Linked DNA regions of Canis lupus familiaris. The protein of the gene in region 2 binds, or shares a complex with, the protein of the main gene of each other region. Links are inferred from orthologs where the notes say so. Each region holds a gene or a part of one and is shown on either strand. Other genes may lie near its edges.

Evidence for each region. Proteins that work in one complex are often made in the same cells at the same time.
Region 1: the proteins of JAML (region 2) and CXADR are in contact, whole or in part, in a crystal structure (PDB 3MJ7), measured with the Mus musculus proteins. The link is inferred for Canis lupus familiaris from reciprocal best matches to the Homo sapiens genes JAML and CXADR. Residues at the interface, in NP_001005421.3 of Mus musculus: Arg57, Asp59, Ala69, Tyr72, Phe75, Tyr77, Leu80, Val82, Glu120, Arg122, Ser127, Met128, Val129, Met130, Lys131; in NP_001020363.1 of Mus musculus: Thr23, Gly51, Pro52, Asp54, Glu56, Leu58, Ser60, Gln65, Ile66, Val67, Asp68, Gln69, Val70, Leu73, Tyr83, Lys121, Lys123, Lys124, Ala125, Pro126, Gly127, Val128, Asn130.

What each region holds. Positions count from the first base shown.
Region 1 is NC_049252.1:14,459,285-14,466,907, reverse strand, and holds the start of CXADR (coxsackievirus and adenovirus receptor), read right to left. Parts: upstream 4,795-7,623; 5' UTR 4,687-4,794; coding exon 4,644-4,686; intron 1-4,643. UniProt on the Homo sapiens protein: Component of the epithelial apical junction complex that may function as a homophilic cell adhesion molecule and is essential for tight junction integrity.
Region 2 is NC_049226.1:15,529,059-15,536,606, reverse strand, and holds part of JAML (junctional adhesion molecule-like), read right to left. Parts: intron 7,420-7,548; coding exon 7,182-7,419; intron 4,101-7,181; coding exon 3,962-4,100; intron 1,684-3,961; coding exon 1,623-1,683; intron 241-1,622; coding exon 154-240; intron 1-153. UniProt on the Homo sapiens protein: Transmembrane protein of the plasma membrane of leukocytes that control their migration and activation through interaction with CXADR, a plasma membrane receptor found on adjacent epithelial and endothelial cells.

The sequences.
Region 1 (7,623 bases), on a different chromosome or scaffold from region 2:
CTCTCTAGTGTCACCAGCTTTTCCTGGTTAATCTTACACAGATGGCACCTTACACAATATTAGCAGTGATTCTCAAATCTCTATCACCAATCGTTGTTTCTTTCCTGAGATCTAGTCCTTTAAATCTTCCTACCAGATATTTTTTTTTACCTCCATTCCCCTCAAGTGCCTCAAATACCACCTGTCTAAACTTAAGCTCGTTGGTCACTTCTCCTAAAACTTGTTCCTCTTCATCCTCTGCAAGTTAGGGACTTCACCATTCATTCAAAACCAGGTATATTACTGCTTCTCTCCAACTTCTGCTTGGAACCAACCAAATTATCAGACTTCAATACATTTTCCTCAAAAGAACTTTTCAGATCAGAGAGGAAAGCCCAACAGCGCTCTGTTTTTCAAGGACTGCTTATGTGTAGATCATCCCAGATAGCTTCCTGTGTTAGACCTACCTGCCTCCAGAACTGCTACAGAGTTCATCATTCCAGAGAATAATCTCAGTGTTTCATCTCACTTCTTTAATGTCTCCACAAGCTTCTTAGTGCCACCACAGAGGGTGGTATAACTTGACACATGTCCATTATCTTTCATCCCCTAAGCTCTTGGCACAGCCTTAGAGCTTCACTCACCCAGAGTGTGGTCAGTAGTGAAATCATCAGGAACTTGTTAAAAACCAAAAATCTGGGATGCCTGGGTGGCTCAGCGGTTAAGCATCTGTCTTCCAGCTCAGGGTGTGATCCTGGAGTCCTGGGATCGAGTCCCACATTGGGATCCCTGCATGGAGCCTGCTTCTCCCTCTGCCTGTGTCTCTGCCTTTCTCATGAATAAATAAATATAAATCTTAAAAAAAAAAAAAAAATCTCAGGCCTCGCCCAACTTTCTTAGGAGAATGACTCAGATTTCCATCAAAAGTTTGAGAAGTGGTGATTAGATGCTCTCATGAACTGAATTTCTCACCTCCCAAGACACATCATACCCTTTCAGATCTCCATGTCTTTGCAAAAGCTATACCATCTGCTGGGAATGACCTATCAAAGCTTTGCACCTTGCAAAGTTCTATACTACTGTAAGGACACCTAACACAAGCACATAGTAGGCAATAAATATTTGAATGATTGAATCATGTAATCAATTAATTAATGGGTGAGCCTGGCCTGACATTTGTAGAGTCTGAGGTACTAAAGATCATTCAGGTGGAATGTGAATGGTAGGCACCTGGAAACAGGGACCCAGAATTCAAAGGAGAGGTAGGCTGAACTGGTACTATTTTTAAGTCACTAGCAACTTTTTAGAGGTTATAGTAATGGATAAATGAAGTCACCCCGGTTTAAGATTGAAAGAAGGGGACTGTGGGCCAAATCATGGGGAAGGCTGATATTTAAGGGACCTACTGTAGAAGTATGAAGAGCAGGTTAGCAGGGTGGAAAAGAGTCAAAATAGGTATCAAGGAGCTCCAAAAAAGATAAACGGATTTGGCACACTGTTATAGTTACCTCTCACAACTGAAGTGGAATAGAACAATGAGATCAAAGATAAAGCAAAAGCTTAACTTCTTTAGACCAGCAACTGAGACAAGGCTACTGGAAAGACCACTACAAAGATCATCATTATTTGAAGAGAGAGAGAGATGGAACTGATGAGAGCCACACCATATACATGGGCCTCGTGGTAAAAAAAAAAAAAAAGGCTGCAAATTTTCAGTCATACAACATTTATGGAACATTTGCTATCTACCACATTCCACACACTAACACCAGGACTATAACAAGAACACAAAGAATGCCCCTACCCTCTGACCTAGTGCAATGAGATAAACTGAGTAAACTGATGGACACCCCACAACAAATAGGGTAAGGAGCCAATGAAAGTGGGTTGCTGTGAAGAAGAGGCAACATTTTTTTTTAGGTGGTTGGTATAATGGCCAAAATGTAAACAAAGAGATATATAGAGGAGATAAAGTTCATATTTAATCTTCCCATTTTTTATGCAAAGGAAGACTCCAGGAAAGATGATAAACATTTCACTTTGTTCCTTAATGGCTCTGAGATGATAGGATCCTTGTTCTTGATACATAAAGCAACTGAGGCACACACAAAGGACAGAAGCCTACAGCTGTCGTCAAATGGCTAACATGTGGTGGGGAGACAAGAACTTTTTAGTTTCACTCATGATGCCAGCGTGAGAAGCAGCGTCTCAAACAAGATCCCCAGGTGATGCTGATGGTACATGGGCCACATCAATTTACAATAGCTGCCTAAGCTTTTTCTTGCTCCTCATGCTTTCCTAATAGTGTCTGAAAGCATTAAACTAAGTTCAAGAAATTAAAGGGCTAATAAAGAAGTCTTCAGTATTTGGCACACAGTCAAACCAACAGCAGGTTCTTACTATGTGACAGAGAAGCAGTGATAGAAATTTAGAATGTCAGAGATAACCAAAGAAGAAAGTGACTGCTTCAGAGGCAAAACAGCATAGTGGGAAGGGTAAGGATTAAGAAGGAAATTTGTGACCTCAGCAAATTAAGTTAAAGAACTACTCCGTGTCTCAGTTTCCTCACATGTACAACAGGGATCATTATAATACATACCCTCCAGGGTTGCTAGGTAAATGGAACATATATAAAGCCCTTAACAGTGGCTGGCATTTAATAACTTTCAATCAAGACTTTAATTTTACTACTATTGCCACTATTATTACTGGTAGTATGATTTCCTACTGGGTAGGTAATAAAATGCATCCAAAGGCCTTCCACTAGCAACTAGAACATATGACAAAACTCTTTACAGCCCATATGGAAACAGATCTAGAGGAAAAATGGCACTGCGATTTTTAATATGAAAGCCTCCTCTGCTTTGTTTTGCCAAATGTAGAAGCCAATCACGTTACCACTCAAATTGAATTCACAGCAATGAGTGTCTAAAATGGCAAGAGTATCTGAAGAAATACTCAAAGCCACCCATCAGTTAGATAGCTTTAGAGCTGTTCCCTAAGCTGGAAAACTGGAACTAAAAATAGTTGTCTTCTTATGCTAAAAACAGTCCTTTAATGAGAAGTTCACTATCCAAGCTTACAGTTTAAAAGCAGAATGACTCTGTATATATTAAACATGTCCTCAGTTGAGATTGTACCTAGTAAAGTGAGGTGTCCAGAAAAAAATGAAATCCAATTATCTGGACATCCCCAGAAGGGGAAAAAAAGAGAGATCCTCTACATGGTTTGTTATTCCATTTTTCTGCTCTGGATGTAGCCTAAAGTATTTTCTCCATGGAGAACATGCACTCTCCACTTCAAATTTAGTCCCCGACAAAACAAACGAGGGGAATGTACCACGTAAACTGGTTACTGACCCTTCATCTTTTCCGGAAGCTTTACTTTGAAATTTTCACCCAAATCTAAATGATATGTATTAAAAAGGTGGAGGTGGTGCTATCGATGGAAGATTAGACTTGTTAATAGAATGTTGATCCCCTGAGTAACGCTCACAGATGTGGCATCCAACAATGGAATTAACATTTCAACAGGAAGCAGAGAGCTATCCCAACAGAAAGGGCCACTCGATCCTTTCCAACACATCAAAAAAAAAAAAAAAAAGAAAGAAAGAAAGAAAGAAAAATCCTTCCAGAGACTATAAAAAGTGTGCCTGCGACGGTCACACTTACGGGTTTTTTTTTTTTTTTTTTTAACTAACCATTTGGTTCCAACAGCGACAAGTGCTCATCTTGACAAACAAGATCAGTTAAAACACTGCCACGAAAACAGATCCGTTTCTTAAAAAGCATCAAATGATTGTGCCTTCAAATGTCCACGCATTTTTTAGATGCCTTTTTTTAAAATTCCCCTCCCGAGAAGAGCGCAGTCAGAAAATGCACTTGGCGAATCCTTTAGGGATTGCCCTGTACAAGCCATCCCCTCGTATCTTCAAAAATGAATGAACTCGTCGTAAACTCAAAGCGAGGCTCTGAATTTCTTCCGTGCACTTTGCTCCGGGACTGCAGAATCGAGAGCCTACGTGGATCTGCAGCCCTCCCCTTCGGTCGAGCTAACCTCTGGGCTAACAGCTCGCGCTCGCGCTCGGGCTCGGGCTCGCCTCTGGAACCAGGTCGGGGAGGCTGCAGCCGCCGCCCGTCCAGCGCCTCTCGCTAGAGGCAGCTACAGCTGCACGGTCGAGGCACGGGGGAGCTCAGGGCCGGCTCGATCTCGGCGCTGGAAATTCAGCCTCCCGCCCGCACTGCTCGACACCTGGAAAACTCGCAGCCCACGGCTTCTGAAGCCCAGGAACGCTGGACCGACACGACTCGGCGGCTAACGAGGAAACGGGCGGGAGCGAATAAAGCGAAGGTCGCCCCGCAGCGAAGACGCCAGGCGCCCCCGCACGCCGCGCCCACCCACCCGCGCCCCGGAGCCCCCCGCCGCCCCCGGGCATCCCGCGGCCCCGCACGGCTCCCTCCCCGCCCGCCCACCTTCCCGGCCCGCGGGCCCGGCTCCGCAAAGCCTCCCCAGGGCGACCCCGCCTCCCGGCCACGCGGCCGCAGCCCCCAAACCGCGCCCGGCCCCTCCCCCACGCTCATTGTTCCCGGGCGGCCGCGGGCAGCGAGCGCCCCGGGGCGGTGCCGGCGACGGGAGCCCCGCGAAGCGCACTGCCCCCCGCTCACCCGCGACTCCGCACAGGAGGACGAAGCGCAGCAGGAGCGCCATGGTGGCGGCGCGGCCGTGGGCGGCGACTGGAGGAGGCGGCCCTCGCCCGGGGTCTCACCACCCGGGGCCCGCGCGCTCCCGACTGGCTGGCGGCCGCGGCACCTCCGCGCCCCGTCCCCCCCGCCCCACCCTCGCTCGGCAGGTGAAGCGCGTCACTTCCGGTAGGGACGGGGCCCCGCGGCGCGCGCCGGCCCCGCCAGGAGCGTGGCGTTGCCGTGGCAACCAGCGCGGGCTGCCCTGGGGACCCTCGCGAATCGCGAGCTCCCGCGCGGGCTGCGCCCAGAGTGGGGGGCGGGACCCCGCCCGCTCGCCCGCTCGCCCCAGCAGGAGCCGGGCCCGGCTTCCGAGCCCTCCGTCGAATCGCGCTTTGGGCTCCAGGGTCGGGCCAGCGCCTCTGCCCCGACAGCTCCAGCCGCGGTCGCGCCTCGCCTCCGGGAGCGGCGTCGCCAACACTCGCCTCCGGGCCGCGCTCCTGAAGGCGCGAGTCGCGCTGGCCTCGCGGGTCCTCACCCCGCCCCGCCCGGCGCAGGAGGGCACCGGGCGGGGTGCGGGTCCAGCCTCGCCTCCCACCGCGGGCTCCGGGGAAAGCGAACCGAGCTGCGCCCCGCCCCCCTCCGCCGCGCCGGCTTCCCCCCCATTGCGTGGAGCCGGCGGGCCGCTCTGGAAGGCTCTGGAAGGCTCTGGAAGGCTCTTCCCCATCTCCAGTAATGACTGAACCCTCTAAACCAGAGCTTCGGATGGATGTGAGAAATACCTCGACTGCTTTTTGGGTTTTTGTTGTTGTTGATCCTAGGTATTCAAAGGTTATTCTCACCCTAAAATTGGCCGCCAAGAACCAGTGAGCTTCCCGGGGGGGGGGGGGGGGGCGGGTAGGGGTGACTAAAGGCTGGACGAGGTGTTGGGGGACCCGGGAATGGCAGATTTCGAATTGCCTGGTCAACTCTACGGTGTCACTTCCTGGTATCCTCCATACTTCTTCTGTGTCATCTGTGTTCTCGGTTGCTCTTTGCAGATACTGTTTATTTATAGCTGCCGATAGACTTTGGTGTTCCGGACCGTTCCATATCAGGAGTGAATTGGAAGAGGGCAGCGGGGTGGTGCAGCGGCTAAGTCCTTGGGTCCGGGAATGGGGCAGTTAACTGGGCAAGTAGTCTGGAAATTCACCTAGTTAGGAAAATCAGAAGAGATAATGCACAAAAGAATGTTTGGCACTGTGCCTGGCACATGGTAAATACTCAGTCCAGTGGTAGCTAATTAAAAAAAAAAAATATACTGGGGGGGGGGGCGCCTGGGTGGTTCAGTCTGGTGAGCGCCTGCCTTGGGCTCAAGGCATGATCCCAGGGTCCTGGGATCCAGCCACCCTTTGCTCCCTCCCTGCTCAGCAAGGAGCCTGCTTCCCCAGCCCCTTCCTGCGCCCGCTGTCTCTTCTCTCTCTCTCTCTCAAATAAATAAAATATTTTTTAAAAAATTATATTGGACAATTCTTTTTTAAATATTTTATTATTATTTATTCATGAGAGACACAGAGAGAGAGGTAGAGACATAGAGGGAGAAGTAGGCTCCCCGTGGGGAACCTGATTGGGGACTCGACCCCATAATCACGCCCTGAGCCAAAGGCAGTTCCAGAACTAAAATGATCTAGAACTAAAATTTTTACTCAACACATACTTCATGAAATTAGAAAAGAGTATTAAAGTTATATCTATTTAAGACTGTTATACGAGAACCACTGAGCCACCCATGTGCCCTGATATTGGACATTTCTTATTATTTATTGAAGCAGCAAAGGAAAGTAAATCAGTTATTAGTAAGACCAAAGTTGCTCAACTGAAATTTAGCCTGGTGGTCTGCTATCCTGATTGCACTTTAAAATTATCTGGAGGATTCACCAGAAATCAGATTTGCAGGCATCTATGCCCCGGACTCTTAGCCTCCAGAATTGTACAAAAATAAATGTCTGTTGTTTAAACAAAAATAAATAAATTAAATAATCTGGAGGAGCGCCTGGCTGGCTCAGTCAGTGGAGGATGGGGCTGTTGACCTAAGGGTTTGAGTTCCATCCCTACCTTGGGTGTAGAGATGACTTAAAAATAAAATAAAATATTTTTTAAAAAATTAAAATTATGTAGAGAACTTCTACAAAATACCAGTATCTGAACCCTCACTCCAGCGATTCTGATTTACCTTGTCTCCAGTAGAATTGTGACTGATCTAAGCAGAGTCCAGAATAACTGCTAGGGATTTCCTTCTTTTTTTTTTTTTTTAATTTTATGTATTTATTCATGAGAGACACACATACAGAGAGAGAGGCAGAGACAGGCAGAGGGAGAAGCAGGCTCTACACAGGGAGCCGGACCTGGGACGTGGGACTCATTCCGGGTACCAGGATCACAACCTGGGGCTAAACCGCTGCCGCGCCCCGCCCCGCCCTGGACAGTCCTAGGGATTTCCTATTAAGGAAACAAAAACTCTCCTAGATATAATTGAAGGTATAAAATATCTAGAACTAAAATTTTTACTCAACACATACTTCATGAAATTAGAAAAGAGTATTAAAGTTATATCTAGTTAAGACTGTTATATGATGGGATCCCTGGGTGGCGCAGCGGTTCGGCGCCTGCCTTTGGCCCAGGGCGCGATCCTGGAGACCCGGGATCGAATCCCACGTCGGGCTCCCGGTGCATGGAGCCTGCTTCTCCCTCTGCCTGCGTCTCTGCCTCTCTCTCTCTCTCTGATGTAACTATCATAAATAAATAAAAATTTAAAAAAAAAAGACTGTTATATGAGAATTTTTCTATGATTACTTCAAAGCAGCACACATTCATTGTGTCTTCTTTTTTTTTTTTTTTTTTCATTGTGTCTTCTCTAGTAGAAATTAAACTCACCCTTCATGGGTTATCTCAACCACTACTAGAGGAAATCTTTTGAAATTATTCC
Region 2 (7,548 bases):
GACTTCCCTATGACTTAGAAAAATCTCTGCCCTCAGCAGTGACCTCCCCAAGTGACCTAGCTATGCCCACCACGCACGGGCTTGCCACATCCTTGCCAGCTCCTTGTCCACCCTCCAGACACCTGGCTCGGCTGGGCCCAGAAGCACTCTCACCATGGTCATGTAGGTGGCCTCTGCTTTTCCATTTGATTCTTCGTCCTCAATCAGCATCGGTGTGGCTACTGAAGAATAAACGTGTTTCTAGAGGGACAGGAGTGGTGGGAACATTAACCAAAGATCAGCAAATGTTAGATGCCAGAGGAAAAAACCATCTACTACTATTCACAGGGCATCAACACCAAAAGGTAATTGAGAGTTAGAAAATTATCGTGGATAATGATAATTTAGTTCCCAGTCTTCCTGGCAATTAAGAAAGTTGGCTCGTCAGCAAAGATTACTCTCTTGAGAACCAAATTCTTTGCTTCAAAAGACAAAGTTCTTTGTTTGGACAGGCACTTAGGCAGCAGCAGGGGATTCTTATCTTGCTGGATTATTTGTATTCCATGCTTATTTCCTTCTGACTGGAGCCATGGCAGGATGGCATTGATCGGCCACTAACTGTGGTCATCTCTGAGAGGGTTTATATGGCAGGGACAGCCCTCACTGAACCTCACATCTGTGAGGTGGGTGGTACTTTGTGATTCACATTCCTGTCACTATTTGGGGAGGTGATGTCATCCAGTGACAAACTCTTGGGCTTCTGGAGGCCCCTGCACTAGGTTGTGACAAAATCCTACACTTAGGTCATAAACAGGGCAAAAGGTGGAAAAAGTAAATATTCCAAGAGGAGTTTTTAAAAGAAGGGAGGGAGGGAGGGAGGAAAGGTAGTTTAAGGAAATGAATTCATTTCTCAGACCCTAATAGCAATTATTTATAGCCCCATTACAAAGTAATATGGAAGAAAAAGCTCTTCTTGATCCTCTTTCTTAAGGTACCCGAATATTTTTTTAAAGATTTTATTTATTTGAGAGAGAGTGCATAAAGATGAGCAGGGAGCCCCATGCAAGACTCAATCCCAGGACCCTGAGACCATGACCTGAGCCTAAGGCAGATGCTTAACCAACTGAGCCACCCAGCCACCTAGAGTCCCTGAATATTTGATCTGAACTGTTAACTCCTTCACTTAATTCCTGAATGTACCACAATTCTCCCCTATGGTTCCACAGTGCCCACAGATGATGAAGCACTTACAGATCATCCAGTTATTTGAACCTTACCACAGGGCAAATATGCTTGTCCTCATCCTCATTTTACTGGTGAGACAAGTGTGGCTCTGGGAGGTGGCTGAGGTGGGCTTGAATGGGGATTCTCTGACACTGAGCCCAGGGTTCTTTCCTGTGACCCTACCCAGAGTCCCCAGGGCCCTGTCCGCTCCCTCCTGGGGTGGGGTGGGGGGCTCTCACTCTGTGATGAAGATTTCCTGAGCCCCTGTGCTGTGCCCAGCACTGGCCACCACACTGAGATACAATACTGAGTAAGATAGTCCACAGAGAATGCCAATGACACCCTGGATGTTGGAGCCATATCTACCCTGCCCCCATGCAGAAACAGCTGCAAAATGGAGTTTTGAGTTCTTGCCTTACCTCTGGATCAGCCTTCTTTATGTTCTCCAGGCTTTTTACCAGGGTTGTGGATGTCGCTGAGCTGCAAGGCAGGAAAAGCATGTGGAATTAACTGGCTGGCACTGTAAATTCCAGGGTGCCCACATGAGACCCCACAGAGTCTTGTGATGAGGGGGACCCCAGAGGGGGAAACCATTGTCTCTAGACTCCCACCGCCAAAGCCACCCAGCTCACTGTGAAATCTGAGCAGTGCATTTCTCTGATGGAGAGAATGAAGCATTCCGGAGGTAGTCTGGGCTGAACGGCTCTGACTTCCCTATTACCTACTTAACATTTTTCTGCATCCACACTGTTTTAAGTGAATTAATAGGGAGGGCCATCATGGGATTGGATTTTTATCATTAACCCGGGAGTAGGGAGATGTAGCCATGCCAGCAGGGGGCAATAGAAGCTCAGCTGAGACACACAGTTCAAAGGCTCCTCCCCTGGGGAAGAGGCTGAGCAGAAATAGCGCCACAAACCCCCTAAGCTGCCAACCCTGGCCCCTTCCCAGCCCTTGGCCTTTGATCTCTTGACCATCTGCCCTCTGCATCTGCTACTTAATACAGTTCCTTTTTTTTCCTATTTTGGTCTAAGGTAGAACTTAAAAAAAAAAAAATCAGGGTTGAAGCTAGAAGTCATTTTTTTTTTTTTTTTGTCTCAAAGTGGAGGAAATAGTTTTCTCATACATTATGATTATAAAGTTGTATGTTCTCACTGTAAAATAATTCAAATACTAAAGAAACACAGAGAGTTGAAGTTTGAAGTTCCAGAAAACCTCCTGCCCTTGTGGGATCCACCTTCTCTTTTCACCCAAACAGCACTACTAATACTTTGGAATTATTCTTTCCAACCTTTCTCAATGCAGGCCTTACTGCACTCACACAAAATGTATTTATTGCATCTGCTGCCAAAGTGAGTATTACTAATTTTCTTTTTTATAAAAATGAGATCCTGTTATATATTCTGTAATGTGATTCCTGGGACATCTTCCCATGCCGTTACATTTGGGATTGTGTAGTATTTCACTGAGTGGAATACTGATTTAGTGAATCATCACCTTCCTGACAGTTACTGAGGATGACTTCAATGTTGAATTATCATCAGGGCTACAGCAACCATGTTTATAAATCTCAATATACAAATCTGATTATTTATTTCCTAAATCTTTAGGATTTCCATGTCTTTAGTACTGACATGGAAGTACTGATTTCATTTTGAGGGACACTGAGGCCCAGAGTGGGGAGGTGAGTTGATATGGTCATCTAACTTGGGCTGGGGGCCATCTGCATGCCCGGAGCAAAGACCCTCAGAGAGGCCAGCCAAGTTCAAACCAAGTCAGAGAGGCCCTGGGGAACGAAGTGAAGCCCAGCAGGCAAAGCACTTTCTAGAGAGTCTATGTTTTATGGGGAGACTCAGAGTCAGCACTCTAATGAGGTCCTTTGCCCATTGACATTTCAACAAGAGAGCCAATCTGCCCCAGCAACGTATCTCATCATCAACAGTTGAATCAATGGATGCATGCGGCCCTGCCAACAGCCAAACCTGCTGCCTTATTGGATGGAGCATCTGGGCATTTCCAAGATGCTGGGAGAAGGGGTACTGAAATTAAAGCCTTCAACAACACATTTCAACAATAAATAACTTAGGACCTAAGGACATCCGTTCAGAAATAGCCACTCAGAATTAGACTGTGGTCCTTTTAAAAATTTATTTATTTATTTATTAGCAGAGGGAAGAGCGAGATCTTGGGGAGGAGCAGAGGGAAAGGGACAAACACTGAGCAGAGAGCCCAAAATGGGGTTTGATCCAATGACCCTGAGGTCATGACCTGGGCCGAAATCAAGAGTCAGACACTTAACCAGCTAAGCCACTCAGGTGTCCTAGAGTGTGGTCCTTTAAATAAAGCCACTGATAACCCTCAAGATCTGATCTTCCTTATGAAATGTGTATTGTACATAATTCAAAAACCCATTTCCCTCAGGCATTGAATGGCACCATTATAGCTCTTGCATAAGATTTATACTTAATTATGTTCCTCTTAAACCACCATTTACAAAAGAGCTGAAAAATCTTTGTAAACTACCAAAACGAATGAAGAGGGTATAGGGATGTACAAGGCCCTCTGCAACACAGAGTGGAGGGTTGGGGTCACTAGAGTGAGTGGAGGGTTGGGGTCACTAGAGAGATGACATCTAATCTGACAACCACAGATGATTCTATTTTAAAGTATCCCCTTCCGGGAAAGTGGCACAGTTAGGGCCCTATCACTCTTCTACTTCAGGTTGAGGAACCGCCAGCCTCCCAACCCAGCCCTGTACCTCTTACTTCTGTGGGTCCTCTTCACGATCAAAATCAGAACAGGAAGCAGCAGGATAGTGACACAGACAATCCCCACAATGATCACCAGCTGATTACCACCCAGGATCTCAGGTCTGAGGGCTACTGGGGTCACCATTGCTTAGGAAAGGAAAAAAGCAACAAGACAGTCTCAATATTCCAGTATAGAGCTGGAAATCCCACCAGATCTATACTAACTCGGGAAGTTGGGAGAGAAGGCCAGACTCCACCCCATATTGAAATACTGGCATTCCACTTGTCCCCATTAGATGGAGAACCAAGTCTGGCCTCCTTGCTTACCCCTACAGTGTAGATTAAGGTGGGTGGGAGAAGAGAATAGCACCTTACCTACAGCAGAGTTTCCTTTTACATTAACAGTTCTATCTTAAAACAACAAAACAGATTTTTTAGAGGCTTCAGATCTTTCAATGAGAAAGTGGTTGGTTTCAAAAGGATATGTGGTACAACCCTCAGCCCCATAGTCATGATACCAAGTAAAGCGCTTCCACCCATATGGTACCCTTCATCCATTTCCTCTACATCCATTTCCTTTCACTCTACATATATACATAAACACCTCCTGGGTGCTAGATATCACTAGGCAAAGAAGCTACAAAGACAGTTAGTGCATGGTCCCTGCCTTCAAGGAGAGGGATGAACATGTCAATGGAAAATCACAGTCTGCTATAGGGACCAGGATGGAAGTCCATATGGGGTACAGGGGGCACAGAGAAAAGGGTACCTAATTCTACGGGGAGCAGATGAGAAGTTCTCAACAGTTTTAAAATTTAAAAGTCTTAAGGAAACATAAAGTTTGTTGGGCAGACAATATGGGAAAGGATGGGGGTGGTGCATTACACACAAGGTCTGGAGGCCCAAGAGGATGGGACTTTCAGAAACTAAAATAGTTCCATGGGTCTGGCTCTAGGTTGCAGTTGGGGGCATAGTGGGGAACTAAACAACAGAGTCTCAATCATGAAGGGTCTTGATCTCAGCCAGGAGTCTGGCTTTCTTTCAGTAAGTGATGGAAAAACCAAACACTGAAAGACTCTAAGCACCGGGACAGAATGTTGCGACTTGTGGTTTAGAATGGTGGCACTGAGGGCTGCAGGAAGAATGAGAGCAGAGGCTGAGAAGGAGAGCAGACCCTGGTTAGAGGGCTACAGGCCAATACACAAAGGAAGACAGCTAGAGCGTGGTGAGGGACTGGGGGGAAGGCAGACTCAAAGTCAGTAGTAGAAATAACAGGACTTGTTGACCTGTTAGTCTGGGGGTCACGGGAAAGGGAAGAATCAGTACAACTCTCAGGCATCCAGCTAGGTAACCATGTAGATGGTGACAGAGATGAGCTAGGGGAGAGGTGTGCAGGGGCAGGTTTGGATATGTTGCATTTGAAGTTTTGCAGAATGTTTAGCTAGGATTTAGATGGAGACATAGATTAGACAGGAAGGAAGGAAGGAAGGAAGGAAGGAAGGAAGGAAGGAAGGAAGGAAGGAAGGAAGGAAGGAAGGAAGGAAGGAAGGGAGGAAGGAAGGAAGAGCAGGAGGGAGGGAAGGAAGGAGGGGGGAGGGAGGGAGGGAGGGAGGGAGGGAAGGGGGGGAGGATCCAACATAGAATATATTGATTATATGGAGAATACTGTGTCCAATATTACTTGGGTAAAGAAGGCTGAGGTGGGCAATTAGAGTAGCATTGGTGACCTAAGCTAGAGCAGAGGCAGAAGCAGAAGCCAGGATGTGGTGCACTAAGAGGTTAAGGGAGGAGAGACAAGAGACACCACAGATGGCCTCTTAGCTACTTAGGTAGGTCAAGAAAGAAATATAGAATTGAGGGGATCCCTGGGTGGCTCAGCGGTTTGGCCCCTGCCTTTGGCCCAGGGCGTGATCCTGGAGTCCTGGGATCGAGTCCTACGTCGGGCTCCTGGCATGGAACCTGCTTCTCTCTCCTCCTGTGCCTGTGCCTCTCTCTTTCTCTTTCTACATCTATCATGAATAAATAAATAAATCTTAAAAAAAAGATTTAGAATTGATTGCGGTGGAGGTTGCACAACTCTGAATATACTAAAAATCGCTGAGTTGTAGGCTTTAAGTGGGTGACTGTATAGTATGAGTTGTTTCTGTTTTAAAGAGAAGAAAGACACACAGGATGAGAGCTAAAGTAGCCCAGGACAGAAGGTGAGAGGAAGAGGTGAGCATATCTACAGTCTGGGTGGCAGGAGCCAGTAGACAGTGTGACGTGCCTGAGACAGGGAGAAAGTTCCACCTGAGCACAGAGGTTTGGATAAGCTCAGGGCAGAAGAGCCCCTGGGATGGTGAGACAGAGAGGTGAGGATGTGGGCAACGTAGATAGGCCTGGGGGGTGGGTGCTTGGTGGTTGAGTGGGCTCCCACTATGGAGTGTATTTTCTCTGTGAAATGGAAATAGGGCTTCTGAGAGGGAAGAAATCCCTCTGTCCCGCTCCCTCCTTTGCCATGTATTACAAGAAGGGGCCTTCATAGACTCAAGTCCTTGGTCAAAGATACTGAGGTGAGTTCCATCCTTGCCCACATCCCCACCCCCAAAAAAACCACAGCCAACCTCCAGCAAAGATCTGTAGCAAAATGCAAAGTCCACAGCCACATCCTGACTGTTAACTGTGTTATGGTTTAACTTTAACCCCTCACTTACCGACTTCTCTCAGATCTTTATTCCCCTACACACCACTGGCTTTAATGTACAGGGTTTGCCAGAATAGAGAACCTTTCATCAGAGAACATTTCTATTTTGAGTTCTGGTCTCTTCCTGTTTTCTTTCTCTTCTGTGCCATCTCTCACCAGCCCAGGGTCATTTACCCTTCTGCCGCAGAGCATACAGCATCCAAGTAAAAAAGAACTTTGGACATTAGCTCCAACCCATCTCTGAGCTCCTGTATCTTTAGATCAGGATATTACACGGGCAGTGAGTGAGTTCTGGCAGAAGGTTGGTGTTCACCAAATAGTGTGGAAAGCGAGGTGCCTAGGACTCTAAAGTTAAGGAGGTATCACCGTGAACATCATGTAAGTCCAGGGTACAAGGACTTGTATCAGGGTCGTGTAAGTACAGCACCTGAGAGTGATGCCTCCTTCAGCGTGGCACCCTACATGCCTCTCTGGCCTTCCCCTAGTCCTGGCCATGCCTACCAACTACAAGGACCCTCATGCCTCCCCAGCCGAAGATCAGATACTTTGGGGCTCTTTCACGATCACATGCAGCGTGGTGGTTTTCTTGAAGGTCAAGTTCCCCAGGTGGATACTGCAGGTGTATCTTCCTCTGTCAGATTCCTTCACTCCTTGGAGCATGATAGACGCATCATTGCGGGAGGTGTCACCCACCAAGGCTACACGGTTCTGGAAGCGGCCCCAGTTCTGGGAGTACCCCACAGGTACACTGAGTTTAGGGTAATAACTTAACACAACCTCCTCCTATAGAACAGAAAGGCAACATATGAGTTTGCAAGGACCGAGGAAGAAGGGGCATGGGGAAGGTTGAGTGGGGGTGCTCTCAGGACTTACCAGGCCCTGGATATGTGGGCGGTGAGGTGTGATGAGAAA